3 linked regions of the Callithrix jacchus genome follow. The protein of the gene in region 3 binds, or shares a complex with, the protein of the main gene of each other region. Links are inferred from orthologs where the notes say so. Each region holds a gene or a part of one and is shown on either strand. Other genes may lie near its edges.

Region 1 (10,560 bases), on a different chromosome or scaffold from region 3:
CCAGCCTGGCAACAGAGCCAGACTCCATCTCAAAAAAAAAAAAAAAAAAAAAAACGCCATCAAAATTTAGCAGGTAGTGGTGGTGTATGCCTGTAGTCCCAGCTACTAGGGAGGCTGAGGTGGGAGGATTGCTTGAGTCTGGGGCAGTCAAGGCTACAGTGAGCTATAATCATGCCACTGCACTCCAGCCTGAGTGATGGAGCAAGACACTGTCTCAAAAATAATAATAGGGCTGAGCAAGGTGGCTCACGTTTGGGAGACTGAGGTGGGCAGATCATCTGAGGTCAGTAGTTCGAGACCAACCTGGCCAACATGGTGAAACCCCATCTCTTCTACAAATACAAAAATTAGCCAGGTATGGTGGTGTCCATCTAAAAAATAAATAAATAAAACAAACAAATAAATAAATATAAAAATAATAAAAACTCCGAAAAAGTTTTAAAAAGTATCTTCCCTATTCTAAATTTATTTATTTTATTTGTGTGTGTGTGTGTGTGTGTGTCCGTGTGTGTGTATAACAGAGTCTCACTCTGTCACCAGGCTGGAGTGCAGTGGCACGATCTCAGCTCAGTGCAACCTCCACCACCTGGGTTCAAGGGATTCTCGTGCCTCAGCCTCTCAAGTACCTGGGATTATAGGTGCCCACCATCACACCCGGCTAATGTCTGTATTTTTAGTAGAGACAGAATTTCACCATGTTGGCCAGGCTGGTCTTGAACTCCTGATCTCATGATCCTTCCGCCTCGGACTCTGAAAGTGCTGGGATTACAAGTGGGAGCCCACTGCACCCAGCCCAAATTTATTTTTAAAAATTCCCCAAGAGGGCATATTACTTCTGTAGCATTCTTGGCAAAAATGCATAACTTCGGCCGGTTGCGGTGGCTCACGCTTGTAATCCCAGCACTTTGGGAGGCCGAGGCGGGTGGATCATGAGGTCAAGAGGTCGAGACCATCCTGGTCAACATGGTGAAACCCCGTCTCTACTAAAAATACAAAAAATTAGCTGGGCATGGTGGCGCATGCCTGTAATCCCAGCTACTCAGGAGGCTGAGGTAGAATTGCCTGAACCCAGGAGGCAGAGGTTGCAGTGAGCGGAGATCTCGCCATTGCACTCCAGCCTGGGTAACAAGAGTGAAACTCCGTCTCAAAAAAAAGAAAAAAAAAAAAAGGATGGATGCTGAACAGGCAAAAACAGCAGCTGTCCACCATGATGGGAGAATCCCAAGAGCCAAATCAACTGAGGGAAAAGGCACTGAGCAGAGAGAGAGGCAGAGAGCAGTTACCACACTCCTGACACTCTGCTACCCTTTTATCCCAACAGATAGCTGGATTGTCTCAGTTAATTCTCTCAGTGATCCCATGAGATATTGTTGTGAACTGATCTGAGCCAATCTTTCCCTTTGGTGGGTATAAATAGCCTTTCCCCACCACCTGGAAGAAGCTGGAAATGCAGGAGAATTCTGCTACACATACAGGAATCTACTACAGAAAATTAGCAAGAGGTTCAAAATGGTTCATACAGCCTTGATGAAGTACCTGACCCTTTCAGGAAAAGATCACCTGAGGCTGATGCAGCATTACCCCAGAGACAAACTTGTTACTCACATAAAAAATGTGAGTGTGGCCAGGCGCTGTGGGTCATGCCTGTAATCCTAGCACTTTGGGAGGCCGAGGCGGGTGGATCACAAGACCAGCCTGGCCAAGATGGTGAAACTCCATCTCTACTAAAAATACAAAAATTAGCAAGGCACAGTGGCAGGTGCCTGTAATCCCAGCTACTTGGGAGGATGAGGCAGGAGAATCGCTTGAACCTGGGAAGTGCAGTTTGCAGATCACGCCACTGCACTCCAGCCTGGGCGACAGAGCAAGACTCTCTCAAAAAAAAAAAAAAAAAAAAAAAAAAAGTGTGAGTGTGGATGAGGGAACTGAGGCAGAGAGGGAAAGGGGAAAGTGACCTCCTGCCCATCACACAACCAAGAACAGAAAAAAACCGCACTTGGACCCGGCAGGCTGTCTGGCTGCAGAGCTTGTTGCTGTAGTCCTTGCCCTGGGTTAGGGCTCACATCAGCAAGCTGGAATCTGGAAACCAGCAGCATCTAGTTGATGTCTGAAAACAAGAAGTAAATGAAGTCACCCGAGGAGTAGTGATCACCAGCACTTATGGGGCAAGCAGAGGAGACAACCCAGTATTATGTCCCCAGTAACTGACATACTGCAGGTACTAAGTATTTATTGAATGAATGTGAGAAGGAACAACCAGAACAGTGGTAGGCAAACCAGGGAAACCATTGTTCCAAAACTAAGGAAGCAAAAAGTACAAAAGAGGGGAGTGGGCCAGGTGCGGTGGCCTCATGCCTGTAATCCTAGCACTTTGGGAGGCCTAGCAGGGAGGATGGCTTGAGCCCAGGAGTTTGGGATCAGCCTGGGCAACAGTGAGAACCTGTCTCTACAGAAAATTTTAGAACTTAACTGGGCATGGTGGTGCTCACCTGCCATCCCAGCTACTCGGGAGGCTAAGGCAGGAGGATCATCTGAGCCTGGGAGTTCAAGGCTGCAGTGAACCATAATCCTACCACTGCACTCTATCCTGGGTAACAGAGTGGGAATGTTTAAAAAAAAAAGAGGGAGGGTGGTCAACATACTATATGCTGAAGAGAGGCCAAGCTCAAGTCTGAGAAGTGAGTCTGGATTTAGGAATGAGAAGTCATTGGTGACAAGCAGTTCCTTGGGGGTGTACCGGTAGATGTTTAACAAACGACTCTCCAAAAACAAATATATCTATGTATATACATAACTGTATGATAAATTGTACTGGTATAAAGTATGGAAAGCAAAAAATTTACAAATAAAAAGGCCAGAAGCAGTGGCTCATGCCTGTAATCCCTGTACTTTGGGAGGCGGAGAGGGGCAGATCACCTGAGGTCGGGAGTTCATGACCAGCCAGCCTGGCCAACGTGGTGAAACTCTGTCTCTACTTAAAAAAAAAAAAGAAAGAAAATAGCGAGGCATCGTGGCACCTGCCTGTAATCCAAGCCACCTGGGAGAATCCATTGAATTCAGGAGGCTGAGGTTTCAGGGAGCGGTGCACTCCAGCCTTCACGGCAGAGCGAGACTCTGCCTCAAAAGCAGGGGTGGAGGAGAGGAAAGCAAGCAAGCAAAACAGTTTCTCTTAAGTATTGCTTTTGCACATCCTAAGGGAAATCACCCATGTATGCACAACATTACGGTTAGCAATGTGCAGTGTTTCCTAAGACGAGGTAAGCGTCAAAGGATAAAGAAAAATAGAAGTCCGTTTTGTATTACCGAAACTCCTTAATTCCAGAAAGAAATTTCTTAATAACAGAGAGCCACATCACAATTTTCAAGAACAGACAAACCTGAGCGACACCACACAACAATCAAAAAACCGCTAGCCACAACACTCCAAGAGTTATTTTAGTTCTAATATTTAACACGAAACAACGAAAAAAAAAAAAGATCGTCAGGAGAATTCAGATAGGAGTAACCAGGGTGTTGTAAGTCCCGATTACGCAGAGACGTTAATCACGTTTCATGCACCTCCAATCATCATGTTTTATCTGTCCTCCGAAGAGGAACAGGTAAGGATTATCCCACCTGACGATATCTTAATAAACGGCGGATATTCCGGACTCAGTGAAAGAGATTCCGTTAAAAGCTAGGGTGAGTATACAACGCGTCGGTACGAGCCACCTTGCTATTTAACATCCTTCCAATTGTATTGCTATATTTGCTTTCATCTCTTTTAAAATAATTTTTTTCATTCAGCTGAGAAAAGGAATAAATTATTTCTTCCCAGAATGCTCCAATCATTTACGTGCTGGACGTTCTAACTGTATGCACTTTTATTTACATATCCCCGCCCACTTCCTTCCCCCAGACGTCTACCGTAATAACCAAAATAGAAGCGATATCAAGTATCTTACGGTCTGCAGGACTAGAAAACAGCGTAGTTGTTTTTTTCTTCAATAGTTAAGCCATCCCAATTGTCCCCTGAAAACTATATAACTCTTGATCTTACTACAAAACATATTTTATTACAAAACACTAAATACAATGCTGATAATCCCATACATCCAACACATATCCTCTAGCAGAAGCAGTTTCCAAGGGGAAGACTGAAGCCTATGCCTTTCTTCTTCCAGGAATACGAAGCGGCCTCCCATGTAGCCTTCGACCATCAGGAAGGTGATCAGAAAGGTTTCTTTTTCAGCCCAAAGATGGCGATGAATAAAGCCATTTCAGTGACAGCTGGAAGGGCACTACCGAAGCAGGTGGTAGATTCAGAAATCCTTTCAATATAAATATGCAAATCTCCAAACTAGAGACCCCACCCCTGAAAGTATAGGGCAGGTGGCATGGGGATGGGGGATGAAAAAGACTACAGGATCTCATGCATGGAAGAAGGGACCGGGTGGGGGAAAACTTTCAGATTTAGGGTAAACCTTCCTCCCTCATCCCCAAATATTGGGTGTTACCACACCTGCAGAAGAAAAAAATGTACCAATACGTAGTGCACTCCCAACGCTCAAATATGAAGAAGGACAGGGCCACGGATGCACTACAGTGAGCCCCAATGGCTTGGGAAGGCACCACAGTTAAGGAAAGTCTTTGGATCGACAGATAGTGATGGATCAGAAAACATCAGTGGTGGGGTTGGCATCTGCACTCAGGTTCATCGCTTGCTCCCTCACCATATTGCAAGGGCTAGAGTCAGCAGCCCTGACTTCTGAATTGTAGGATGGTCATATGAGGAGAGACCAGAAGTAACTGCATAGATGGGACCTCAGGCTAGCCTACCCCACATCTAGAGGCCAGCTTGGACCCTTCAGATGAGAGGTAAGAGTAGGCTCTCCTACCATGCCACACAGGAGTGCTGACAGCGAATTGATATGCTCTGCTGGAATCAGCCTCCAGGGTTCTAGCACTCCTGGTTCACAGTTCTCTGACCCACGTGCTTCATTTCCTTTGCCATTTCTGAGTTCCCATTGTGCTTTCTACCTTTTGTTTGTTTGTTTGTTTGTTTGTTTGTTTGAGACAGAGTCTCACTTTGTCACCAGGCACCAGGCTGGAGTGCAGTGGCACAATCTCGGCTCACTGCAACCTCCGCCTCCCGGGTTCAAGCAATTCTCCTGCCTCAGCCTCCTGAGTAGCTGGGACTACAGGCACACGCCACCACGCCCAGCTAATTTTTGAATTTTTAGTAGAGACGGGGTTTCACCATGTTGGCCAGGATGGTCTCAATCTCTTGACCTCGTGATCCACCTGCCTCGGCCTCCCAAAGTGCTGGGATTACAGGCTTGAGCCACCGTGTCCCGCTTGTTTGTTTTTTGACGGAGTCTCACTCTGTTGCCCAGGCTAGAGTGCAGTGGCTCAACCTCGGCTCACTGCAACTTCTGCCTCCCAGGTTCAAGCAATTTTCCTGCCTCAGCCTCCTGAGTAGCTGGGGTTACAGGTGTGCCGTCACCACGCCCGGCTAATTTTTGTATTTTTAGTAGAGAATGGTGTTTCACCATGTTGGTCAGGCTGGTCTCAAACTCATGACTTCAAATGATCCACCTGTCCTGGCCTCCCAAAGTTGCTTGAAATAAAGGCGTGAGCCACCGCGCCCACCCCTCTTTACACACTCCTATAGCACCCTGCTTATCACTGAATTACAGATATGTGTCTGCCTCCTCCTCATGATAAACAAAAAAGGTGAAGTTCTCATTATTACTATTATTTTTGTAGACATAGGGTCTCACTATGATGCCTCAAGCAATCCTCCTGCCTGGGCCTCCCACACTGCTGGGAATACAGACATGAGTCAACGTGCCTGGCCGAAAACTGTTTTACTCTCATTTTGGGATTTTAAGTGCCTAGTAAACAGCAGGATTTAGCACATGTTTGAAGATATCCGAACTGGAGAGATTGGTTACAGCAGACACTATGGTGTCAGGTGGCTGAAGGGAGTCCTGATGGAAATGGTCGTGTGGGAAAGGTGAGCAGGAGGAAAGGATACAGATGAGGCTCTGGGTGCTGTTGAACATGGAGACTCCTAGAAGGAAACCGGCCAGCTCCACTGCAAAGAGGCCCAGAGTGACAGAGAGCGCGGCCACCAGCCTGCAGAAAGGAAGTGGACAGCCTCAGGCCCTTGGACTTCTAAGAACCCTCCACTCCCACCACCTCTCCGTTCTGACCAGCCCATTCCGAGAGAGCTCACTGAATGTCCTGCTTTTCATACTCCTCGGGGGTGAACCTGAGAGGCAGGCAGGCCTGGATGTTGCTGTCCTGGGAGCAGAGCAGAGAGGAAGAGAAGTGAAAAAGGGACGGGCGGCGAGGCAGGCCTGGGGGCGGCGGGGAACGAGAAGACCTAAGTGGGTAAGACACTGGGAGAGGGGCAAGATGGGGCTGGGACCACTCCGAGGTGGGAATAGGGGCGGACGGATGTCAGCCGTGGGTCTTACCCGGGACCAGAATAAGGTGATGACGACCACCAGATGCGCCAGGAGCGTCAGGAAGCGAGAAGGTACGAGCCCTGAGACCCGGCCCATGGCCCTTGGAAACAGGGGCGGCGGTCTCAGAGGCCGGAATTTCAAAGAGAGCGACTCCTGAAGTCTCCCTGCAAGCGGACAAAATCTAGACGAACGCCTCCTTCCCGCCCGCTCAGGCACCGCCCAGTTACCTTGGTAACTCCGTACGCGAACGCGGCGCCGCGTTCTCGAAAAACATCGCGAGAGCAGTATATTCTCAAGCTGCTGCTGGCCTCTTCCGGCTTGCGCAGGTCAGGGCTTCCCCGAATGCCATTCTAACCCAACGTTTGGGTATCCGCGCGTAGCCAAGCCCTTTGTTCCTGAGAGGGTGCGAGGTGGCACGGCCCCGCAGCGCCCGATCTACCCGCCCAGGACCGACGAACGGAAACCGACCTGGGCTAGCCTGGGGGCACCTCGGCTTCCGCAGTTGCCGGGAGCGGCCCCCAGCCCCTTCTACACCGACAATTGTGGATCTCCTGAGGCCGCGCCACCGCCATGCCGGGCTGAGGTCCGGGTCCCCGCCATGCCGAAGACTCAGACACGCTCCCCTTCCCCTCCTCCGTATGCCTTTAGCTTCCCACCAAGCTGGCCTCAGAAACAAGGGTCCCGAACTTGGAGAGGCGGTGTCCCTAGACTGCTCAGCAGTCACAGATTGTCACGGAGCCCCTGGATGTCTGAGGACCCCAGGCCTGAACTTTCCTTGAGGAAGACTGATTTCTCTCAGTCTAACTTTGCTCAGTTTGGTGAGGGATTTGCAGAGTGCAAAAAATGGCAGAGCAAGGGGACCGGAAAGGGTGGGAGTGGATGGAGGGAATGGACAGTCCCTGCATCCCTGGGAGGCTTGGAGCTGACTGGAACGGAAACTCAAATCAGATTTCTTTATCTCTTGGAGGTGCTGGGCCTCCGACATTACCCAGCTACAGTCCAAGAAGCTCTTATCATCGGCAACCTCATGACCTTTGGGTTTCAGCGCAGGTCCCCGCTGATCGGAAAGCTCTTTCTTCTCGCAATGCTGTCAAGTCCCATTCTCAAGGGTCCTCCCGGCTCATTTCCCCGGAGAACAACCGCTTCCTCTTCCTCACTCCCCGTCTCAGTGCCTTTAGCCAGTCTAAATATATGCCCAAGAGGCATTTCTCATTTCTTCAAATATTGTTTGTATTTACTGATTACCTAGTAGGTGGATTCTAGTCAGGGAGATCAATAATAGACATGCAAACAAATCCGCAAGATACTATATGCTATGAAAAGGGAAACGCTACAATTATAATTCTATAAAAAGAATGGGGCATTTGTTCTTAAACTTTATTTTAGAAAATTTGGCGCAGTAGCTCATGGCCGTAATCCCAGCACTTTAGGAGGCCAAGGCGGGCAGATCACCTGAGGTCAGGAGTTCTAGACCAGCCTGATCAACATGGTGAAAACCGGTCTCTACTAAAAATATAAAAATTAGCTGGGCATGATGGCGAGCACCTGTAATTCCAGCTACTCGGGAGGCTGAGGCAGGAGAATTTCTTGAATCCTGGAGGTGGAGGTTGCAGTGAGGCGAGATCGCGCCACTGCACTCCAGCCTGGGCGACAGAGCGAGACTCTGTCTCAAAAAAAAAAAAAAAAAAAGAACAGGCCGGGTGCAGTGGCTCACACCTGTAATCCCAGCACTTTGGAAGGCCAAGTCGGGAGGAGCACAAGGTCTGGAATTCGAGACTAGCTTGGGCAACATGGTGAACCCTCGTCTCTACTAAAGATACAAGGGGGGAAAAAATGGCCCGATGTGGTGGTGGCGCATCTGTAGTCCCAGCTACTCGTGAGGCCGAGGCAGGAGAATCGCTTGAGCCCGGGAGGCAGAGGTTGCAGTGAGCCGAGATCAGGCCACTGCACCCCAATCTGGGTGACAAAGCAAAACTCCGTCTCAAAAAAAAAAAAAAAAGATGATTCTCTGTTCCAAACGGAGGGAGATTACAGAGGAGTCTTCTACAACAATCCAGCAAGAGAGGCTGAGGGGTTGTCAGTGAGATGGGGAAGGAGGGTCGGTGGACAAGGGGATTATTATTGAGAAAATAGAATTGACAGGATGTGGTGACTGGAAGTAAGACAGTAGGGGAAGGGAAGAGTCAAGGATGCATCTCCCAGTCTGGGTCTGGCCACTCTCTGGGAGTGCAGAAAGACTGGAATAAGTATGGCAGAGACATGAAGGTATCAGCAGGCACTATAAATCTGAGTCAAGAGGTGGGAGCCAGATTCAGGAGCCCTCATCACGCAGGAAATAGCTGAGTCCATAGAACATGTGTAGCATGAGGAGAGAAAATCTTACCAGAGGAAACCCAGGATTTACTGGGAGAACCGAAAAAGAGACTGGAGCTGGGCGTGGTGGCTCATGCCTGTAATCCCAACACTTTGAGAGGCTGAGGCAGGTGGATCACCTGAGGTCAGGAGTTTCAGACTAGCCTGTCCAACATGGTGAAATCCCGACTCTACTAAAAAAAAAAAAATGTACCCGAGCGTGGTGGTGCACATCTGTAATCCCAGCTACTTGGGAGGTTGAGGCAAGAGAATCGCTTGAATCCAGGAGGCAGAGGTTGCGGTCATCCAAGAATGGACCACTGCGCTCCAGCCTAGGCAAGAGTGAGACTCTGTCACAAAAGAAAAAAAAGAAAGGAAGGGAGGGAGGGAAGAAGGAAGGAAGGAAGGAAGGAAGGAAGGAAGGAAGGAAGGAAGGAAGGAAGGAAGGAAGGAAGGAAGGAAGGAAAAAGAAAAGAAAAGAAAAGAAAGAAAAAGAGACAGGAGAGAGGAGCCACTTGGGAAGGGCCAGCAGACTAGTGTCAAGGCAACCATGGGAAATGAAGGCTCTTGGAGAAGATGTTGCCTGAAGTTGGTTAAGGCCAGGCCTGAGAATGTCTGTGGCCTTTGACCCCTCTGTGGTCCCTGATAACTTTCCAGAAAGCCACTGTGTACAAATTTGGCTTGGATGGGAAGGAATGAGATAGAGCCATGACCTCTTGTGCCATCTCGGCCTGTTGAACTCCTTTCATTTTTCAAGAAACAAATGCGTCTTCCAGCTCCAGGTGTTTCCCTTAAGCAGTTCCCAATTTTGTCTCAACCGCGGAGCTTTAAAAAATACTGATGTTGGGAGGCCGAGGCGGGTGGATCACAAGGTCAAGAGATCAAGACCATCCTGGTCAACATGGTGAAACCCCGTCTCTACTAAAAGTACAAAAAATTAGCTGGGCATCGTGGTGCCTGTAATCCCAGCTACTCAGGAGGCTGAGGCAGAATTTCCTGAACCCAGGAGGCGGAGGTTGCGGTGAGCCGAGATTGCACCATTGCACTCCAGCCTGGGTAACAAGAGCGAAACTCCGTCTCAATAAAACAAAAAACAAAAAACGATGTTTATGGTGGTCAAAATTAGAATAGAGGCCAGGTGCAGTGCCTCATGTCTGTCTGTAATACCAGCAATTTGTGAGGCAGAGGCGGGCAGATCACGAGGTCAGAAGTTCGAGACCAGCCAAACCAACATGCCAAACACCACCACCACCACCCCCGTGTCCACTAAAAATACAAAAATTAGCCGGGTGTGGTGGTGCGGGCTTGTAGTCCCAGCTATTTAGAAGACTGAGGCAGAAGAATAGCTTGAACCCCGGAGGCGGAGTTTGCAGTGAGATGAGATCCCGCCACTGCACTGCAGCCTGGGTGACAGAGCAAGACTCCAACTCACAAAAACAGAAAAAATTAGAACAGAGATTGCTTCTGGGAAAGGAGGAGTGGGGATCCTTAGAGAAGGGACATGCAAGAACGTTGAGTGATGGAAATGTGAACTGTGAGTTGCTCAGGTTTATGTATTTATCAAAACTCATCAAAATATATACAAGATTTATGTGCTCTCAAACAGTTGAAATACCGATATTTTTCAAAATTTTACATACCGATGTCAGAGCTCTTCTTTGGACCGTTTAAATCGGAGTCGCCGAACCCGGGGGTTGTGCGTGCGTACATTCGAAGGCTCCGCAGGCGATTGTGAAAGTGCAACCGGTGAGGA
Region 2 (10,460 bases), on a different chromosome or scaffold from region 3:
TCCATTAATGCTAAGTTCTTGAATCCCACAACCTCGAGTAAAAAGAAAAAATAATAATTTATACACACATGTACAAATTTATACACTCTAGACTGAAAATGGAAAACCACTCCCTACTGCTCACCTTGAAAAACTAAAATATCCAAGTTTGATAAATAGTAGAAGATCTAGATAAAAATAATTATTATTCAGTATTTTAACTACAAAGTATTGGCCAGATGTGGTGGCTCACGCCTATAATCCTAGCACTTTGGGAGGCCAAGGTGGGTGGATCACCTGAGGTCAGGAGTTCAAGACCAGCCGGGCCATCATGGTGAAACCCCATCTTTAAATAAATAAATAAATAAAAATAAATTTAAAAAAAACTACAAAGTATTTATTACACAATATTTAGTTCATTTGGTATTCTTCTCAATACAACTAAGGGTCAAATATAATCTTACTGTCATACACATTGACAAAACTAAAAATTTAGTTAAAAGGATAAAACTTTCATCAGTAAACTACAATGTATGAAATCAACAACTAGTATTTCATGAGTATTTAACATGTGCTAGGCACTGTACTAAACACTTTTATACTTTAAAACAGTATACTACAAAATGTCTTCTAAAGGACGTAAGTTCTCTGAAAAAGGAATCCATGTTTAAATACAGTTGGTCCATCTATTACACTCACCACCATGCCTCCCACCTTGTAGAATAAAGGCTCTGAGAAGTTTTACAGTAAAAAGTAGCTACATTATTATATTGAATCCAATATTTTCCAAACTTACTTGACTATAAAACATTTTCATGTAACACCTTTTAAAGTTGAGGAAACACTCTTACACACACACACACACACACACACACACAAACTTTAGTACAAGAAAAAAGAAGTATGTGAGGTAACAGATAAACTAGCTTAATTTGGCCATTCCACAATGAATACATGTATCAAAACACTGTGTTTATGAACATATATAATTTTTATCTATCCACTTAAAAAAAAAAACAAAAGAAAAAACCAAAATGCGACTTCAAGTAAATTTTGCAAGTATTGCTTTTATCATTTAAAAGCCCTAGGGACACAAACATTCTTCTACTAGTTTTAAAAAAGGAAAGGGGAAAGAGAATGAAGAAAGAAAAAAAAGGGAAGGCTGACAGACAGAGCTGAAAGTTAATAATGTATATTCAACCTTAATTAAGCAGATAATTCCTGAGAAAACCTATTCCTATATAAACGGTTTCCAGGTTCAGTCTCATACTTAGTAGTGAATACTTCCTTTAATAATTCCAACCAAATCCATGAAATAACTGCAAATATATCACAAATATGTTGTGTCGTGTTCAGTCGTAGCCCCAGCTCTTAGCAAGGAACATAGTCTATAGTAAGTGTTCAATAAAAATTTGTTGAAAAATATCAAATTTACAATCGTGATTCTTTTTTTTTTTTTTTTGAGACCATGTCTCACTCTGTGGTCCAGGCTGGAGTGCAATGGCGCAACCCCGGCTCACTGCAACCTCCGCCTCCCAGGTTCAAGCGATTCTCCTGCCTCAGCCTCCAAAGTAGCTGGGATTACAGGCATGTGCCACCGTGCCCAGCTAATTTTTTTTTTTTTTTTTTTTTTTTTGTATTTTTAGTAGAGATGGGGTTTCACCATGTTAGTCAGGATGGTCTCGATCTCTTGACCTTGTGATCCGCCCGTCTTGGCCTCCCAAAGTGCTGAGATTATAGGTGTGAGCCACAGCGCCTGGCCTATAATAGTGATTCTAATGCAGGGGAGAATATGGATCATGGGGTAGGGAGCTTTTTCAAAATACAGATACCTGGGGTTACCTCAAAGCTACTATATCGAACATAGTCTCTAAGGGTAAGCCTAAGCATAGGTATTTTATGAAAGCTCCCCAACAGATTCTGATACAAACCATTGGTTTTAAAGCTACTCCTTTCACCTAGAGCAGTCAAACACACAGGGAGTATTATAGTATAGTGTTTGCCAGAAGTTAGGGAATTGATACAAAGTTGTTTAAGAGGTACAGAGTTTCAGTTTTGCCACGAGTTCTAGAGATGAATGGTGGTGATGATTTTGCATGACAATGTGAATGTACTTAACACTATTAAACTCTACCCTTAAAAATACTTATGACGGTAAATTATGTAATTTATTTTACCACAATTTTTTTGAAGTCACGTCTTTTTAATGGCCTCACCACAGTCTTTCAACCTTTAGAAAAATCTTCCACTGTCATGAAAACTTAGTTGGAATTATATTAGTTTAATATTTCTAAGGTACATGTAAGTTCCATACAATCACATCAAACAGTTCATACCTCCAAAAAGAAGAGGACAATAAATACTTGAAAGAGTGAATTAATTTTTCTCACAGTCTGAATTTCATTCCATTCATTTGCTACAAAATATGTTCTCCATATGCTTACAGGAACAGTGGCACTTCGTACACCACCCTCACCTGGTCAGTGAAATAAAATGAGTAAAAGAGTTTTACCTCCTTTGCTCTGCAATGGTAGCAAAAGAATTTTGGTACAAATGTTTATTTCAGTTACCTTCAACAGCTTTAAGAACCTTTCCTTTAGGTCGCTCCCAATCAATAAAGAATATATCTATTGTAATCTGGGATATGAGCGTATGCAAAAATTGTAGTGCCTGAGAATGACATATAATAAAACACCTAAGAAAGTATCAGCATTAAGCCTGCTTATGAAACCAATATTGATTCTTTAAGAAACATACTGTTATTACAAGAACATAAACTTTTGTGAGTGAATTCACATAAAGTTATAGTACCACTAGGGAATCATTAGAAGCTCATCAGATAACCTGGAATCACCAAATTTATAAAATTTTCATATATATATTAATTTACCTTACCTTTTTCTTTTTTTTTTTTTTAAATAGAGACGAAGTCTCACTATGTTGCCCAGGCTGGAGTGTAGTGGCTATTCAAAGGCACGATCCCACTACTGATCAGCACAGGAGTTTTGACCTGCTCCGTTTCTGACCTGGGCCGGTTCACCCCTCCTTAGGCAACCTGGTGGTCCCCCGCTCCCAGGAGGTCACCATATTGATGCCGAACTTAGTGTGGACACCAATCGGCATAGTGCACTATAGCCCAGAACTCCTGGACTCAAGAGATCCTCCAGCCTCAGCCTCCCGAATAGCTGGGACTACAGGCGCACGCCACCATGCCCGGCTCCCTTTTTATTTCTTTCTTTAAAACAGAAAATATGAAAAGAGGAGACTTTTTTACCTCTTCCTCACATAGGAGCTTGTATAATTGACCCTTACCCAAAGGTTCTAGAAGCACACTTTGTTGTATAGACCAGCTGACTTCTTTATAAGTAAATATATTTCCAACTATAGGTTTTCCTAAAGTTTTTGAATGCTCTTGCTGTCTTTTTCTTTCTATTTCTGCTATTAAGGTTTCTGATTTTTAAAGAATGTGTTGTTGAAACACATCTTCCTCATCTACAGAAGCAGTATGTTTAAACCGAGGCATTTTTTCTAGTTTCTGCATTATTGATCAAATAAAGGATAAAAATCTAAGTATGGGATACATCACTTAGATAAGCTCCCGGTCAGTGGAAAAAGCAGACATTTAATATTCACGGTACAATGGGATAAGGACTACCAAAAGGCACATAAAGAACTTCACCTACATTGACAGAGAACACTGAGTTGGGGACGTGGGGGCCATAGGAAGAAACAAGCAAAGGAATATGGAGACATACAAAACAATTTTTAAGATCTCAACACTTTATTCAGAGTGGTACCTTTTAACCTTGATTAGTGAAGACAAAATTCATGCCTGAAGACATTTTGTCCCATTGTCAATGTATCATCAGACTTTAAAGAAAGTTATATATTAAAATATCATTTTATCAAATTAGTCACAACTCATGTTAATCCAAATAGATGTACGGCTTCTTTGAAAAAAATATTTAAGGCAGATTTTCAGACTGAGTATCTACTATAAATAAAAGTAAATTTACCACATAAAATGATGAAGGCTTTCTTTCAAAACCAAAGTGAATTTCACACCAAAGATTTTGAAAGCATTTTAACTTTAAAGACTTACTAGTTCATTAGCAGGCCTTTTAAATTTAGTAAAACTTACCTTCAGAGCAAAGGCACATCCAACATAAGTGACAAAACGTTCTTCCTGAACTGGCATTGGGAGCAAAACAGAGACAGACTTTTGTGCCTATAATAAAAATTACTTGATTAAATACAATCACACAAAGTTTTTGTTATTTTGTTATTGTTGTTTTTGGAGAGGAGGGTCTCAGTATGTTGCCCGGGCTGGACTTGATTCTGGACTCACAGTATCCTCCCAGCCAAGTCTCTCAATTGAACAAGGTTTTTACTAAGCACAATTGATAGACCAAAGAAAGCATAAAAGAGGATGATAGTGATATAACCGATAAGCTCAGCACACTCAAGGAATGGGGAGTTGGGCACCTGTCTTAATACTATTGATCAAAAATTCTCCCAAATAAAAATAATTCCTTAAAAGGAAAGCTTTTCAATTATTCAGACATTGGCAGTTGGGGTAAATTCAGAAACTCACTCACTTTGAAGAAAATAAGCCAATAAAGACCTGTTCCCACTGTGATGATAAAGAAAACATTGGCCAGATAGCCAGCATAGTACACCAAGAATTTCATAACTGTCTGCAATTAAAAAAGAAAAAAGAATTACAGCTGTTTAAGACTCAATATATATAACCCCTTTAGTAACACTACCGCTTTTATACATCATCCACTCCATTTCTGAAGTCTTGTTTCACATATCCACATATAATCAAGCTATAAAGAACACCTGCATCCTCCTCCTTGCTACCTTTTTGTTCCTTATCTTTCTGTCCATTCCTGGTAGCCTCTTTTTTCAACTCTTCTCATCTTTCACTATCTAAGAAAGTTGAACTGCTTCCTAGTTTTCTGTTAGTTGGGAATCCTCCACTCTAATCTCTCCACACTACCACCAGAGTTAGTTTTCTAAAATGTAAATTGGATTGTGTCACTCCTCTTGTTAAAAATGAATAACTCCTCACTGCCGTATAAATTGCTGATCCACAAGGTCTTTCAGAATATGAGCCAAAATTAACTTTTCATCTGCCAGTTCCAGCTGTGTGGTTAACAATCAACCATTCCATTTCATCTTGAATACTTTGTAGAAAATGGGCATTGTTTTACCAAATATTCTTCCTCTGTCTGGCAAGCTCTCATGATCTCTGAGAGCACAGACTATGGCTGTCTTCACTCACTATCACATCCTCCAGTGCCTGGTAGAGTGCCAGACACTTCCACAGTGGAGCCTCAGTGACTACTGTGGAATGAATAGATAACCCCTCTTAAATTTCACTTCAATGGAAAGCCTTTCTGGACTATCACAAGTAGCAAATCAAGTCCTCCTGCCAATTCCTTAGCTCACTGGCTTTGGAATCAGAAAGATACTTTGGTTAAAGTTACCATGTAGCCTTTCTCATGTTCTTCATCAACAAAATGGAAATACCTATTACTGAGTTGTAGTAAAAATCAAGTGAGTAGAAAATTTAACCTTTGCCTCTATTTCATCATGTGTAAAATGTGACTAATAATAATAATATCTAACTTCAAAGAGCTATTGTGAGGATTAAGTTGTATCATATACGTAAAGATATATACATAAATTATATACATACAGCTTTAAAAAGTACCCAGTACATGGTAAATATTTTTTAAATGTTTGATAAAAATAAAAGGTTAAACATGAAGTGAAAGTATAAAGTTAATAGAATAAAATGTGGACTATCTTTGTGATCTTGACATAGAAAAAAATCCTAAAAACACATACCATAACATGAAAATATATTCAGATATGATGATATCAAAACTAAGTTTCTGGCCAGGCATGGCGGCTCATGCCTGTAATCCCAGCACTTTGGGAGGCCGAGGCAGGCAGATCACGAGGTCAGCAGGTTGAGACCAGCCTGATCAACGTTGTGAAACCCCGTATCTACTAAAAATACATAAATTAGCCAGGCGTGGTGGTATGCGCCTGTAATCCCAGCTACTCAGGAGGCTGAGGCGGGAGAATCACTTGAACCTGGGAGGCGGAGGCTGCAGTGAACCAAGATCGTGCCACTGTAGTACAGCCTGGGCAACAGAGTAAGAATCTGTCTCAAAAAAACAAAAACAAAACAAAACAACAAAAAAACTGAGGATTTCTGTTAAACAAAGGACCACATGGATAAAAATAACAGATGGGTCACATATTTCAACAGCAGAAACCAAAAAGCAGTTACTATTTAGAAAATATTAAAAAATCCTTTGAATAAACAAGAAAAACTGGAAACATAATAGAGAAATGGGTAAGGGATACAGGCAGTTCACAGGAGAAATCCAAACTATTAAAATGTATATGAAGAGTAATCAGAGAAATGATAATGAAATCAACAATGACATACGACTATTTGTCACAAGATTGGCAAAAAATGGAAAGGTTGCAAAAATATCAAGTGTTGCCAAGCATGCGCAGAAGTAAGAAGAGCACCGCAGGCAGGAATATAGACTGGCAGACAGTATGATGGAAGAACATGAGGTATGCATATACCATATGACCCAGCAATACTTAGATCCTAATTACATGCCTCAGAAAAATTCATTCTCTAGCCGTGTCTTATGAGAAGGATCCAGAATAGTCAAAAGATTAAAATATTCTTAAAAAATTCCTGAGATTTTACCTGTAAATCAATCATGGGACTCCCAATGCGCCTCTTCCATCCTGCTGTCTTCAAAAGAGATGCTAAAACAGCTAGCCCACCCAACACACCCAAAGCAATCTAAAAAACAAAAGAACAATTTAGAATTTATGTAATTTCTCTCATCAGTGTTCAAAAACACTGTGAACAGAAAGAAGTGCTCAAAAAAAACAGTGAGGGAGGGACATGTTGAAAGGACACAGGAGTCAAGGTGGAGAAACTTCTAAAGGACAAATCTGGGACAATTTGAACAAGAAAATAAACTATAATATAATTACTAAAACAAAACAAATATGAGTTCACAGTGATTTAAAAATAAATAATTGAATAAGTAATGTGAGCAAAGGGAGAGTTTCTCCTCACAGTAAATTTTCAAATTAAATAAATAAAAAAGTAATTAGGGAAACAGAAAATCACCATGAGGTAAATATCACAGTGAAACTTTCTGCAAGCAAGAAACACCAATGGATGCTATTTAATAAAATTAGAGGGCAAAATAATAATAAGAAGCAGAATGTTTGCATAATTTCAAAGATTCTCCCCCATGAGATCTATCTATCTATCTATCTATCTATCTATCTATCTATCTACCTACCTATCTGAGACAGAGTTTTGCTCTTGTTGCCGAAGCTGAAATGCAATGGCATGACCTTGGCTCACTGCAACCTCCACCTCCTGGGTTCAAGTGATTCTCCTGCCTTAGCCTCCCAAGTAGCTGGGATTACAGGCACCCACCACCATGCCCAGTTAATTTTTTATATTTTCAGTAGAGACAGGGTTTCACCATGTTGGCCAGGCTGGTCTCGAACTCCTGACCTCAGGTGATCCATCTGCCTCAGCTTCCCACAGTGCTGGGATTACAGGCATAAGCCACCATGCCCGGCCAAGATACTTATTAATTACAAATGGAAAAATGCAGTGGAGAACTCTGCAGACACCATCTTAGCCATATGATTAAAGTTAACATCATCAATAAGAAGACATGCTGACATCATGTGCCTCCCGATATGATGCACTGAGAAGGCACCGTATCACTTTGGTGGCATCTTTGCTAAAACTATACGAACTCAATTTGATCATGGGAAAATACCAGACAAACCAAACTGAAGGCTAAAACAATGGACCAGTGCTCTTCAAAAGTGCTAGGGTCATGAAGGACAAAAAAAGGTAAGAATCTGTTACACATTGAAAAACACTAAGGAGATATGACAGCTAAAAGCAATGTGTGACTCTAGATTGGGTCCTGAAACAGAAAAAAATTCAATAGTGAAATTTAAAAAGTATGTAGATTAGTTAATAGGAGTATATCAATATTAATTTCCAGATTATGACCACTGTACTAAGTAAGGTTATGTAAGATGCTAACATTAGGGGAGGATGGAGGAAGAATATCTGGCAAATTTTGTTCTAGCAACTTTCCTGCATATCTTATTTAATTATAAAATATACTGTATATATTTTAATAGGTTAAAATAAACTTACATCTGTCTGGATATCTGCTTCTCCATGATCCATTTCATAGGTGACTGAGAAAGAAACCTGATATTTAAAACAAAACAAATTAGCTATACTGAAATTATATAATACAAACTTAATATTATAAAAATACATTTGTAGCTGAGTTTTATCATAAACACTATAGTTTTTAACTATCAATATTACTAGAGTTGACCTTTACTTACACGTAAATACATATGCTTTTGAGAATTATTTTTGTGCTGCTTTAAATATCTCTTTCATACACATTATAAAGGAGCTCATTAGGAGATAAGTTAGATTCATGCACAAAAGTTTAAGTCAAACTAATCGTATTTCAATTTCCAATAGATTTCTGTAACTGAGGAATTTGATGAAACTTGTACATCAAGAATTTAGCAACTGGCTAAACAACCATACCCTATGCAAATTCATCAAAGGTATGAACAAAATTCTTAAAGATACCATACACTGAGACAATCAGACTAAGAGAAAGAAGAACCTAGTAAAGGGTCAGAGAAGAGGACTGTGATGGGTAGGAGAGGAAGATACCTAAGTCTTACCATGGTCACAGAATAGGGAGTTTCAAGGAGGAGGAGGTTGAGTACTGTGTCAAATGTTGTATAAATGTCAAGGTAAAGAAATAAAGCCACTATATGTGGAAATCATTGCTGACTTTCATGAAAGAGGTTTTCTAAGAAGTAAAATGGCAAGAGCCAGACTGCAAATGATGAAAGAGTAAATGGTTGGGAAATGATGGAGAAATAAATATCAACCTGGGCAGCTGGCAGAACTGAGTAAAATGTTTGGTTGGTTGGTTGGTTGGTTTAGTTTTTTTTTTTTTTTAAGATAAGGCAATCTGAGAGTCTTTATAAGCAAAGGAAAGGGACTTGTAGAGAGGCTGGCTGAACAAAAAGACATTGGGGATAAAACAGGTTATAGGAAAAGGTACTGTAAATGAGGTTAGACAGAAGATTAGTTTAGGAAGACAGGAGGGGACCTTCTTTCTCAGAAAAAAGGAACAAGAAATGGGAAGGGCAATGAAACAGAGATTCTGAAATATTAAAGAGGAAATCTTAAGGAATTTGTATTAGATAGTCTTGATCTGGTCAAGACCAGTTAAAGAGCAGAGACATAGCTGGATGTTTACAACTGATGTAAAATTTTACAACAGCTGCCATGAGAAATTAAGAAGTGATGAAAGAAATCTATGTCTTATAATTAGAACAATTTGAGGTAGACTTCATCAATGTAGTTTTCATGACTTAACTATTTTTTTTCTTTTTTTTTTTTTTTTTTGAGATGGAGTCTCACTCTGGAATGCAGTGGTGTGATCTTGGTTCACTGCAATCTTTACCTCCCAGGTTCAAGTGATTCTCCTGCCTTAGCCTCCCAAGTAATTGAGATTATAGATACCCACCACCATGCCTAGCTAATTTTTTTGTTGTTATATTTTTAGTAGAGACAGGGTTTCACCATGTTGGCCAGGCAAGTCTCTAACTCCTGACCTCAACTGATCTGCTTGCCTTGGCCTCCCAAAGTGCTGTGATTACAAACATGAGCCACCATGCCCGGCAGACTTAACTTTTTTCTATTTGTTATTTTTCAATTTATCAAGGCTTAGTTTAGAATTATTTTGGACAAAAACAGTATTTAAAGGAAAGACTTACAAGTGTTTTACATTAAAATAAATATATTCCTTTTCATTTTTGGCAGGGGATGAAGTTTCGTTCCTGTTGCCTAGGCTGGAATGCAATGGCACACTCTTGGCTTACTGTAACCTCTGCCTCCTCAGTTCAAGCAATTCTGCCTCAGACTCCCAAGTAGCTGGAATTATGGACTTCTACCACCATGCCTGGCTAATTTTGTATTTTAGTAGACATGGGGTTTCAGTATGTTGGTCAGGCTGAAAATCAATATATTCTTGATTACCCATAATATCACTCTAGGAAGTTTTAAACCAGGCAGACTTTTATTGTTACCAAGCATGTTTCTAGATTTTCTTCTCCTCTCATTACAGTGTATACAAGCTCAGTCAATGGAAACTAATTTTAGCATTGGATTAGGTAATACAAATGAGGATGGAAAATCTTTAAAAGTTATACTACATGTGTATTTTTGCTTAATTTTTTTTAACGCTTTTTAAAAAATAGAGACGGGGTTTCTCCATGTTAGTCAGGCTGGTCTTGAACTCCCAACTTCAGGTGATCCGCCTGCCTCGGCCTCCCAAAGTGCTGGG
Region 3 (10,560 bases):
GGGCGTGGTGGCAGGTGCCTGTAATCCCAACTACTTGGGAGGCTAAGGCGGAGAATCGCTTGAACCTGGGAGGTGGAGGTTGCAGTAAGCCAAGATTGCTTGCACCGAGAGAAGGAGATTGCAGTGAGCCAAGATCACGCCATTGCACTCCAGTCTGGACGACAAAGCAAGACTGTCTCAAAAAAAAAAAAAAAAAAAAAAGGCAAAACTCTCCTTTGCTGTTAGAATTCAGGAAAGGTCAGTTAGGAGTAGGGAAGGAGTTTAGTGACTGAAAGGGAAGAGGGAGTTTCTGGGGATACTGTAAGATTGTTTCTTGAACAGGGTGCTGGTTGAACATGTAGATTCAGTTTGTGTATGTATGTATATTACACTTAGTTTTTTTTTTAGTAATATATCTTTATTACTAAAAAAGTATACAATTTTTATGTATGTATATTGCACTTAAAATTTTTTAAGTAATATATCTTATTTGAGAGAAAGCTAGAAAATATAGACATGTTTAACAATTTTTAAATCATCCACAATCCTACTAGCCAGTGATAACTAGTTAACATTTTAGATTTTTTCCATTTTTTTCAAACCAGTGTGCACACACTCCCTCCTTTCCTCCACCCATATTTACACACATAAATTTTGCTAAATTAGGTTCATTCTCATTTAGTTTTATTTCTGCTTTTTAAATTTTTACATAAACCGTATCATTCAATATTCTTTGCCAGCATTTTATAAGCAGCTGAAACATACTCCATTGAATGCATATGCTCCAGTACATTTCATCAGTTGCCCGTTGCTGCATTTTCCGATAATCAGTCACAGTATCTCTCTCACACACACGCACACACGTACACCTCTAGACATTCTTTAAGTTCTGCATTCATTCTCTATTTCCCTCCAGAAAGGTTGCAGAGATTTGTAGTTCCACTGGCAAGATGTGAGGGGTCCTTGTATCGCAGTCCAACCCCAGCCCATTTCTTAGTATAGGTTTGTTTTTACGGTGATAGGGCTCAAAGCAGGAATAAGGGATCTGCCGTTTTGGACACGGCCAAGGCACGCAGCTCCCGGGGCCTGGAACTCGCCCAAGGCAAGCCGGTCCCTTCCAGGTGCGCAGGCTCCCGACGAGACCCAGCCTAGCCAGGCAGCCCAGCGCGCTCCCGGGTCCCGCCGCCTCCGCCCCGCCCGGTTGCCGTGGGAACCACGGAGCGCGACTGCGCCCACAGACCAGCCTCTGTCTAAGGGGGCGAGGGATAGTGAGGCCCAGACATGGACCTGCCGGATCCGGTACGCCAGCGGCTGGGAACCTTCAGCCGGGCCGTGTTCAGTGATTCCAATCGGACTGGGCCGGAGTACAATGAGGGTCCCGGTGAGTGGACTAGGCCCGGCGCACCGGGTGTGGCCCGCCAAGGGCTTAGCGTGGGTTTTGGAGCCTCCAGAATTTGCCCAGACCTAAAATGGCGACGTCGCCTTCAGCTAGCTCTCCGCAGTCTTAGTTAGCGCCTTGGAGGAGGGGCCGGGTCGAGCGGGGAGCTGAGGCGCGGGCCGCCTATGGGCGGATAACCCAGGGCCGGGCCTGGTCTGCGCGTGCCGCCGCAGCCCAGCCGGCTCTTTATGAGAGAGGCAGCTGAGGTGGGGCCAACCTCTGTGCTAGGCGAGGCCCATCATTGCTCCAGAGAAACCCCAAAAATAAAAAGATAAAAGCCGTTTGCTGCACAGGCTGGTCCCGCGCGCGCCATGAGGGCAAAAGCCCAAGTTGCTTTTTCTCGGCTTCGCCCGCCCGGGCTTTTCTGGGCAGGATGGCGGGGAGCAGCCCAAGCAATCCCACCACCCCCGTCCCAGGGAACACATTTGCCTTTTCTCTTTTCCTAGCAGAAAAGTATGTTCCTCCTCAAGGCCATTTGCTGGTAGAAGAAATTTTGAAACAACAACAACAACAACAAAATTTTTAATGAGTCCTTTCAAACCACCATTCACTCTCAACTGGCATGTGCCATACTGGCTGTCTGTTCAACAAAACTCACCTCTTCCCTGCCTTCTCCACCTCCCCTATATGTAACTCTTACCATAAGGTAACAAAATACCACGATGCTTCTGCATCCTTCAACCTGATGACAAGTGATAACGCAATTTCCTCCAAAACAGTTTCCTTCTCCTACATCATGATGGTAGACAACACACTGTCAACCAAACCCATGTGGTTTTCATCATTCAGCTCTGCTGGGAAATGGAAATCTTTTCCTCTGCTTGGTTTTAGCAAATTTTAAAAAGGGACAGAGAAAAGTAAAGTCAGTTCCTATAGCTGCATTTTGTCACCTTGATCACTTGCCTATTCCCCAAATGTAGGCCTTTGTCATTTAGGATATACAGAGAAAAACGGGAAAAAATTAAGTTTTGATGTTTCTGGTTCCAAGGATGAGGCTTAATGAGCACTAACATCTGATAATAGAAGGTAAAAACGGACGTTTTCTGAAAAGGGCCCGATAGTAAATATTTTAGACTTTGTAGGCCATATGGTCTCCACAGCAGCCATTGATAATAGTTATTGAATAGGCATGGCTGTGTTCCAATAAAACTTTATGGACCCTGAAATTTGTATTTTATATGGATTTCTCGTGTGAAAAAAATATTTCTTTTATTAACCATTTAAACATATGAAAAAACATTTTTATCTCATCAACTATACAAAAACAGGCATCTGGCCAGTAGTTTATCATCCCTGATTTATATTGTATGTTTTAATTTAAATTCCATTTACAGAACTCAACTTGAACTTTTGCAAACTTTAGTAAATTTATCTTATGCTTTTAAGTTTCATTTACATATTAACTTGATTTTCATTTCCATGATTATAACTTTGATCTGCTGAAATAGGGACATAGCATAACCTTTAAGATATTAACACACAATACTTCTAACATAAAAACCATTCTTCGCAAAATTTGACTACAGTTTCTTCTCAAAGGTACTGAAATGTTCAGCTTGCCCAATTTATTATTCTTTCCCACATTTTCTTCTTTGTGGATCTGATTCTTTGTGCTGTAATAACAAGTTCCTATCATTACCATGTCCACAGCATTGTGCTGTTGCTATGAAAAAGATCCTAGGCTGGTGAGTTGTCTTCAAATTTAAGGTTTTTTTTTTTTGGGTTTTTTTTTGAGATGGAGTCATGCTCTGTCGCCCAGGCTGGGGTGCGGTGGCCAGATATCGGCTCATTGTAACCTCCGCCTCCCGCGCTCAAGCAATTCTCCCACCTCAGCCTCTCGGGTAGCTGGGACTACAGGTGTGTGCCACCATGCACAGCTAATTTTTGTATTTTTACAAAATTACCCCCATAGAGACAGGGTTTCCCCATGTTGGTCAGCATGGTCTCATCTCTTGACTTCACGATCTTCCCGCCTCAGCCTCCCAAAGTGCTGGGATTATAGGCATGAGCCACCATGCCTGGCCAAATTTAACAGATTTTTAAGAGTTCACTCCTTTACCAGTGGTAATTTAATAAACGGATGTAAGCAAAAGTAGGTCATAATAATCAGGCATATTCTTGGAGCTAAAGGAAACTTTTGCTTTGAGAGACCATGATTATTTCTTATATTTTAAATGACCGATAAAAACACTCAGCTATGGAGACAAGGGAAAAATACTGTTTTAAAGAAATTTATTTTAGAGCCTTTAAAATGTTACGTGTAGAGCAACTGATTTCAGTATATGTATCTGCTCTTAAGAATTTAGTTAAACTTAGGATGTATTGTATAGGGCTCAATTTTAAAAATCAAATTCTTAATTTAAGACCCTTCTCTTACATAAAAGCAAAAAGTGTTATGGAATAAACCTTAGGTAAATGGAACTCATGTATCACAAATGGTTATACTAGTAATGTCCTTATGACAGTATGCTTTCATTAATTCATTCTTTCTGCTTATGTTGCTTATGTGTATTTGATATTCACTGTGTGTAAAGCAAGATGCTAGATTCTGAGGTTCCCAGATTAGGGTAATACATGGTCTGTGCTTGCAGTGAGCCCGTAGATAAGTAGAAGAGAAGAAGGAAAGGGGACTAATATTTGTCATGTGCCTACTAAGTGTGCCAGGCACAGTGCTAGGATGAAATAATGTATATTGGCTCTAATTCTCACAAGCAGCCTGTGAGGAAGCTTTAATTTCACTCTTTTACAGATGAATAAATAGAAGCTCAAAGAGGTTAAGTAATTTATATCAAATCTGACAGCCAGGGTCACAGAAGTTTGGAGAGCTCAAGTTTGCTTGAACTCTGAAGCCTATGATCTGTTCAGTATACCAGACTGTTTTTTGGGGAGGGGAGTGTGGTTCTTTGCTAGCACTTCTTATACAGTTCAGAGTGATAAATACCTCCTAAAGGGAAAAAGAGATTTCTGCTGGGGTGGAGGAACTGATGAAGGAAGTATTGATGACAAGACGACATTGAATTGGACTTTAAAGAATGGCTAAGATTACGGTATGCTGAAAAGAGGGATGTCTAATTATAATCTTGGTAATCTGTTTTTGTATAAGATTAGTTTATATGTGAGAGATTCTTTTTTTTATTTTATGCATTAATTTTATATGCTCTTTACATAGAATTCTACAAAGGAGGCAATGATACTTATCTGTTGAATAGGATTTATATTGCTATTCCACATTAAATCTATACCAGTAGTATATGCAAAAAAGTCAGAAGACTGTAATGGTAAAATGGTAAAATAATTGAGAAACATGAAATATACCCCCAAATAGCCAATATTTGATCTAAATGGTATTAGGATGAATACTCCTTTTACTGTCAATGATTACAAATAGGCTTAAAATTTGGAGTTTTACTGAGCCAATATTATAGTTATTAACTCTAGGGAACGGGATGTATATATAGGGCATAGACTGGGATTCATAATTTGTTCCTTTTCTATCCCTTCTATAGAAAATGAAATGGTCTCCAGTTTGGCATTGCAGATGTCACTTTATTTTAATACCTACTATTTCCCACTGTGGTGGGTGAGCAGCATTATGATGCTTCACGTGAAGGTAAATCTAAGCTTTAATACTTTTGCCGCCCTGACGTTGTTAGAGTGTCAATAAAATTAAAATTCTTAATAATTTTTTTCTATCTCAGATTAATGTTACTGTATGTGAAATTTTACAAACATGTTTTAGCTTTTTTTTTTTAGTACTCAATCTTGCCTGATTACTACAAATTCATTGTGATCACTGTTATCATCCTAATAACCTTAATTGAAGCCATCCGGTTGTATCTGGGCTACATGGGTAACCTACAGGAGAAGGTAAGCTCTTTTTTCCTCTCAGTGATAGATACAAATGAAATCAGTTTTCATAACAAGTAAAAGGCAGTGAGGTGTGGCAGAAAGAGCACAGGCCTGAATTTAAGGGCTGACTCCAGCTTTACCACTTCTGTTACTGTGGTCTGTTTGCTTAATCTCTTGAGCCATGGTTTCCTCATATATAAAATGGGGAAAATAATATTTACTTCACAGGTTGGTTATGATTAAGTGAAATGATTTATATGAAGTATATGAATGTAGTAAATACTTAAAATTGATATTTTCCCTCATCAGTCTCGAAAATACATGGTCACTTAAACATGTGTATTTGGATCCTGAATAAGAAAATGGGGGAAAATTATAAATTCATTTCCTATTCCAGGTCCATGTTTTCTGCATCATCATGCTGCCTAAGTATTTATGGTTACCAGAGTATAGGGGTAATGCCTAAAGATTCCTGTGGTTTTCTAGGCCCTTCATAATAAGGCCCCACCAGCCTGTCTTACTATAGGTTTTGCTGTTTTCTCACCCAGCCATCCATTCCAGGCTGATGTATTGATCCCCAGTCATGCTAGTTTAACATGTTTGCTTACTTACCTTTTTGCCTCTTCTTCCTTCTCCATAACTTTAAAAGCCTACATTCCTGAGGTCTTTCACCTACCCTAATCTCTATCTTATTTCTTGTAGCATTTAGTCTGTACTTCTAAATATTGCACTTAATTGTTTACTAAAGTGCAGTATTCTAGGATTGTTTTATATAAATTAGTTTTCTCATCTAGATTGTAAGTTCTCTGAGGAAAAGGACCATGTCATCCTTCTTTGGAATTACACACAGAGCCCATCATGTAGGTTCACAGTAGTGATATGTATTTGTTTATCTATATAAACAAACCTGTATTTTACTGATTTTTATTACTCTTGATGTGTGTCATTACAGGTTCCTGAGTTGGCTGGCTTTTGGCTTTTGAGCCTTCTATTGCAGTTGCCTTTAATTCTTTTCTTGCTCTTTAATGAAGGCCTAACAAATCTGCCCTTGGAAAAAGCAATACATATCATCTTCACTCTCTTCCTTGCTTTCCAAGTTGTTGTAGCATTTCTTACCTTGAGGAACATGGTCAATCAGTTGGCAGTTCGTTTTCACCTCCAAGACTTTGACCGGCTCTCTGCAAACAGAGGAGACATGAGAAGGATGAGGTCATGTATAGAAGAGATCTGACCCAGTGTTGTTGAGTGAAAATCTGACAGATCATTCTAGAAGACTGTAAGAGCTAGAAAATATCAGTGATCTAACAATGAGAAAAGGGACAAAGCAAGTGTTTTGAATTATATACGCTCTCACTCTGAAATTCTAAGGTTGAGGACAATGATGAAACTTTGTACAGTATATGAAACAGTGTATTAATCCTAAAACCTAGATGTTGTCCACCTGATGCCAAATTTCTTAATTTTTTGGATGTTGTTGTCTTTTTCAGGAGTATAGAAATCCACGTGTTGGTGGTTGTCATTTGTCAGCCTTCCTGTAATATTTCTGGTTAAAATCTGTAACTAGAGATGTGTACATTTCTTTAAAACTTGTTGGTTGGCCGGGTGCCATGGCTCACACCTGTAATCTCAACACTTTGAGAGGCCAAGACAGGCAGATCACAAGGTCAGGAGTTCAAGACCACGCTGGCTAACACGGTAAAACCTTATCTCTACTAAAAATATAAAACTTAGCCGGCAGCGGTGGCACATGCCTGTAGTCCCAGCTACTAGGGAGGCTGAGGCAGAAGAACCTTTTCAACCTGGCAGGCAGAGGTTGCAGTGAGCCAAGACTGTGCAACAGCACTCTTGCCTGGGCAACAGAGTGAGACTCCATCCAAAAAAAGCAAAAACAAAAACAAGCTTGTTGGTTATCCATGTCTTGGCTGCACATCTGACCATGTTTCTTGACATGGAAATGCCAGCCAGTGTTCCTATGTATTTGACTATATTTATAAACCAAGAGACCAAATTTTTATGTCTGCTAGGGTTAAATTCTAACCCTAATATTCGCTGTCATACTGAGATTAAGAAGAAAACAGGTAGATTGCCATGGTATTTAGGAAATATTTTTGTCATAAAATTATAACTTTCATAAGACCATATTCAGTATTTGTAATGGTGGTATACAAAACACTTTTATAATAAATTATTAAATATTTAAGTTAAAGTATCAGCAACAAATCATCCTTGTCTTGTGCAATTCTTTTGGGGCTATAGATCTGTTTTTTGTTTTTTTTTGTTTTTGTTTTTTTTAATTACTGAGTTGCAAGGGAAGGAAGAAAAGCAAATCCTAGAGAGCTTTCTATGTAGTGGACACTGTAGTGGGCACTTTAACTTAGTGCTTGTGATTTCATCTACTAGGTTACTGTTCACCAAAGAACCACTTCATACCCATTAAATTCACATGAGGCTTGATTTGGAAACCAGAGCACCTCTTAATACATATGAGAGCTAAGATGGCCAAAGGGACTATACTCATGATCCAAAATGAGCTTGCTCCCTTGCTAATTGGAGAAATCTATTTTAGGAGATTGGGTTAAGAACAAAGTTGCTTGGGTGTGTCTGAACATTAGATTTAAGTGACTGTTGGATTGTCTTAAAGGATATGATATTTCATTACAGGTTTTCTTTTTTTCTATAGGGAAATGGGCCTTTATAAGTAATGTATTTTACTGAGGGACAGTTGTAGCTACATTAAAAACTGCTCTTTTCAATTTTCTTTTTTAATAATTCGTGCTTATCTTAGGATTTCCAGGTTTTGCTTTATTCATTCTTGTTTTGCTGAACTTCAAAAAATGTCTTCACTTCCCACTCATTCTTGATTTTTCCTGACAGAACTATGCTAATTTTATTATTTCTGCTCTTTGGGATTATATATAAAGTTCAGCCAAATATTTCTCCCTCCATGCAGTGGCTGATTAATCTTTTTCATACCAAAGTAGTCACTGGTTATACTCGTAATAATTTGGAATTTAAAATAGAATTCTGTTTGAATAGTTTTCTAAAACATGTATGTTTGCATTTGTTTCCCAGATGGGACTAGATAGATGATTCTATAAGAGAATATAAAATAAAATTAAATCTACAAAGCAGATAAATTAGGGCATGATGGAGACTTTTCTATTTCAAGATTGTTTCCAGAGTTTTATTTTAAATAGCAGAACTTCTGGCACATTTAAACTTTAAGATTAAGAGATTAATAACAAAATGTCAATCATAATCATAAAAAATTTTTTTAATTAAAAAATTTGAGAAAATTGATTTATCAAAATTTTCAAGTAATTTTGCTGTAATAAACATATTACTTAAAATGCAGATATAGTAACAGTGGCGGGGGAAGATAGAAAATTGAGACCATGACCAAGTCATTTGTTTGTTTTTCATGTGAACAATAAAACCATGACTTTTTGTATTAGGCTGAATGAATATTTTCCATTGGAATATACCTAGTTCCCTATATAAGTATATGAAAATCAGGGTAGAGTTGATATTTACATGTCAGCACATTTGGGGGTTAGGCAGTCTTTATTTTAATTTTATTTGAATCTGTTTATCCATCCTTAATTTATATTATATCCTCTCTAAGGATTTACAACACTGTTCTGAAATTTTTTAATTAAAATGTTGGACTTCACAAATGTTTTGTCCTTCACATATTTTTTCTTCCAGAGGCTTTTTCTCATCAGAGACAAGATAGGCATAAATTTCTGTAAATCAAAATTATTTTCTTTTTTTTATTTATTTTCTTTTTGAAACAGAGTTTTGCCCAGGCTGGCGTGCAGTGGTGCAATCTCAGCTCACTACAACCTCTGCCTCCCAGGTTCAAGTGATTCTCCTGCCTCAGGCTCCCGAGTAGCTAGGATTACAGGCACCTGCCACCACGCCTGGCTAATTTTTTTTTTATTTTTAATAGAGACAGGGTTTCACTCTGTTGGCCAGGCTGATTTTGAATTCCTGACCTCAAGTGATCTGCCCGCCTCAGCCTCCCAAAGTGCTGGGATTACATATAGGCATGAGCCACCACACCAGACCTAAATCAAAATTATTTTAAAACATCAAAACTTATTAATTTAACATATACTTGAATGACTAGTATATGTAAAGAATAGTCAAAGGTATATAGACAAGACATGCTCCTGGTTCTCAGGGATATGATGTGGGAGATAAAACATTTGTACAATCTTAAGACAAAGTAAAAAAGCGTAACTGTATCAGGAAAGTGCATTGAATGAGTTTCTACCTACTAAGTACCTGACAAGTAACAGGCCCTTGGCTTCCAGTACATCTTCCATCTGTGTTCCTAGCACTTAGTATCCCAGGATTAAGCACATTAGCCCTACATCAACAACATTTAGCATTCACCGTGCTCCACATTGTCTGAGGGGAGTAGATGGCATTCAGGTTAAATGAATACACACTCAATCCCACTTGCCTGTGCAAACAAGAAGTTCACTCTCTGGTAGAAAAGGCAGATAAGCTATAAGTGATAGCACAGTGTGATGGGGCCCTGTAGGATAACAGAGAAGAGACATCGAAATGACGAAATCTGGAAAGCCTTCCCAAAGAAAGTGACACTTGAGATTTGAAGAATGAGTGGGTATTAAATTCAGTGTTAAGAAACAAAAATTAGTGACTGTGAGTTCTGTTTCAACGACTACAACTAGTTTGTTGAGCCTAGTGGAAAGTGTGCATGAGAAGAAATGGTGCAGAATAAGGCACAGAAGCTTGGAAGGTGCTAGCAAGCCTGTCTACAGCTTTGAATATATTCTGACTCCCTGAATAGTTTAAACAGTGGAGTATCACAAACAGAATTAGATTTCAGAAAGACCTCTTTGAAGACAATGTGAAAAATGGATTGAAAGGGTTGGACAAGAGGCAGAGATACCAAGAGGAATGTGATTATGTAACTTAGGAGTGAACAAACTGGCCTGGATAAAGTCAGTGGCAATAAAATAAACTTGAATAGAACCTACTATAATGTTTTAAAGATAATTTCGTATTTTAAAACAGATATAAGGAGAGTGTTTTTCTAATTTGTCTTTTCAGAGATTACCTATAATGGTTAACAAAATGATATATTCACTGCCTTTCTTATCTCTCCCACACTCACAGGTTTTTTTTTTATTATTATTATTGTTTTTCAGAGACAGGGTCTTGCTCTGTCACCCAGGCTGGAGTGCAGTGGCACAATCATAGCTCACTGCAGCCTCCAACTCCTGGGCCCAAGTGATCTCACCTCAGCCATCCAAGTAACT

The links.
Region 1: TMEM17 (region 3) and TMEM107 share a complex: the UniProt entries of both Homo sapiens proteins name them as parts of the tectonic-like complex. The link is inferred for Callithrix jacchus from reciprocal best matches to the Homo sapiens genes TMEM17 and TMEM107.
Region 2: TMEM17 (region 3) and TMEM67 share a complex: the UniProt entries of both Homo sapiens proteins name them as parts of the tectonic-like complex. The link is inferred for Callithrix jacchus from reciprocal best matches to the Homo sapiens genes TMEM17 and TMEM67.

The regions. Positions count from the first base shown.
Region 1 is NC_133506.1:74,648,862-74,659,421, forward strand, and holds TMEM107 (transmembrane protein 107), read right to left. Parts: upstream 6,677-10,560; 5' UTR 6,552-6,676; coding exon 6,465-6,551; intron 6,289-6,464; coding exon 6,221-6,288; intron 6,121-6,220; coding exon 6,020-6,120; intron 4,599-6,019; coding exon 4,502-4,598; intron 4,281-4,501; coding exon 4,211-4,280; 3' UTR 4,036-4,210; downstream 1-4,035. UniProt on the Homo sapiens protein: Plays a role in cilia formation and embryonic patterning. Requires for normal Sonic hedgehog (Shh) signaling in the neural tube and acts in combination with GLI2 and GLI3 to pattern ventral and intermediate neuronal cell types.
Region 2 is NC_133517.1:33,385,326-33,395,785, forward strand, and holds part of TMEM67 (meckelin), read right to left. Parts: intron 8,285-10,460; coding exon 8,228-8,284; intron 6,827-8,227; coding exon 6,728-6,826; intron 4,677-6,727; coding exon 4,578-4,676; intron 4,208-4,577; coding exon 4,121-4,207; intron 2,650-4,120; coding exon 2,550-2,649; intron 2,456-2,549; coding exon 2,316-2,455; intron 33-2,315; coding exon 1-32. UniProt on the Homo sapiens protein: Required for ciliary structure and function. Part of the tectonic-like complex which is required for tissue-specific ciliogenesis and may regulate ciliary membrane composition.
Region 3 is NC_133515.1:51,607,349-51,617,908, forward strand, and holds TMEM17 (transmembrane protein 17), read left to right. Parts: upstream 1-1,231; 5' UTR 1,232-1,260; coding exon 1,261-1,360; intron 1,361-4,923; coding exon 4,924-5,027; intron 5,028-5,170; coding exon 5,171-5,284; intron 5,285-6,218; coding exon 6,219-6,497; 3' UTR 6,498-7,486; downstream 7,487-10,560. UniProt on the Homo sapiens protein: Transmembrane component of the tectonic-like complex, a complex localized at the transition zone of primary cilia and acting as a barrier that prevents diffusion of transmembrane proteins between the cilia and plasma membranes.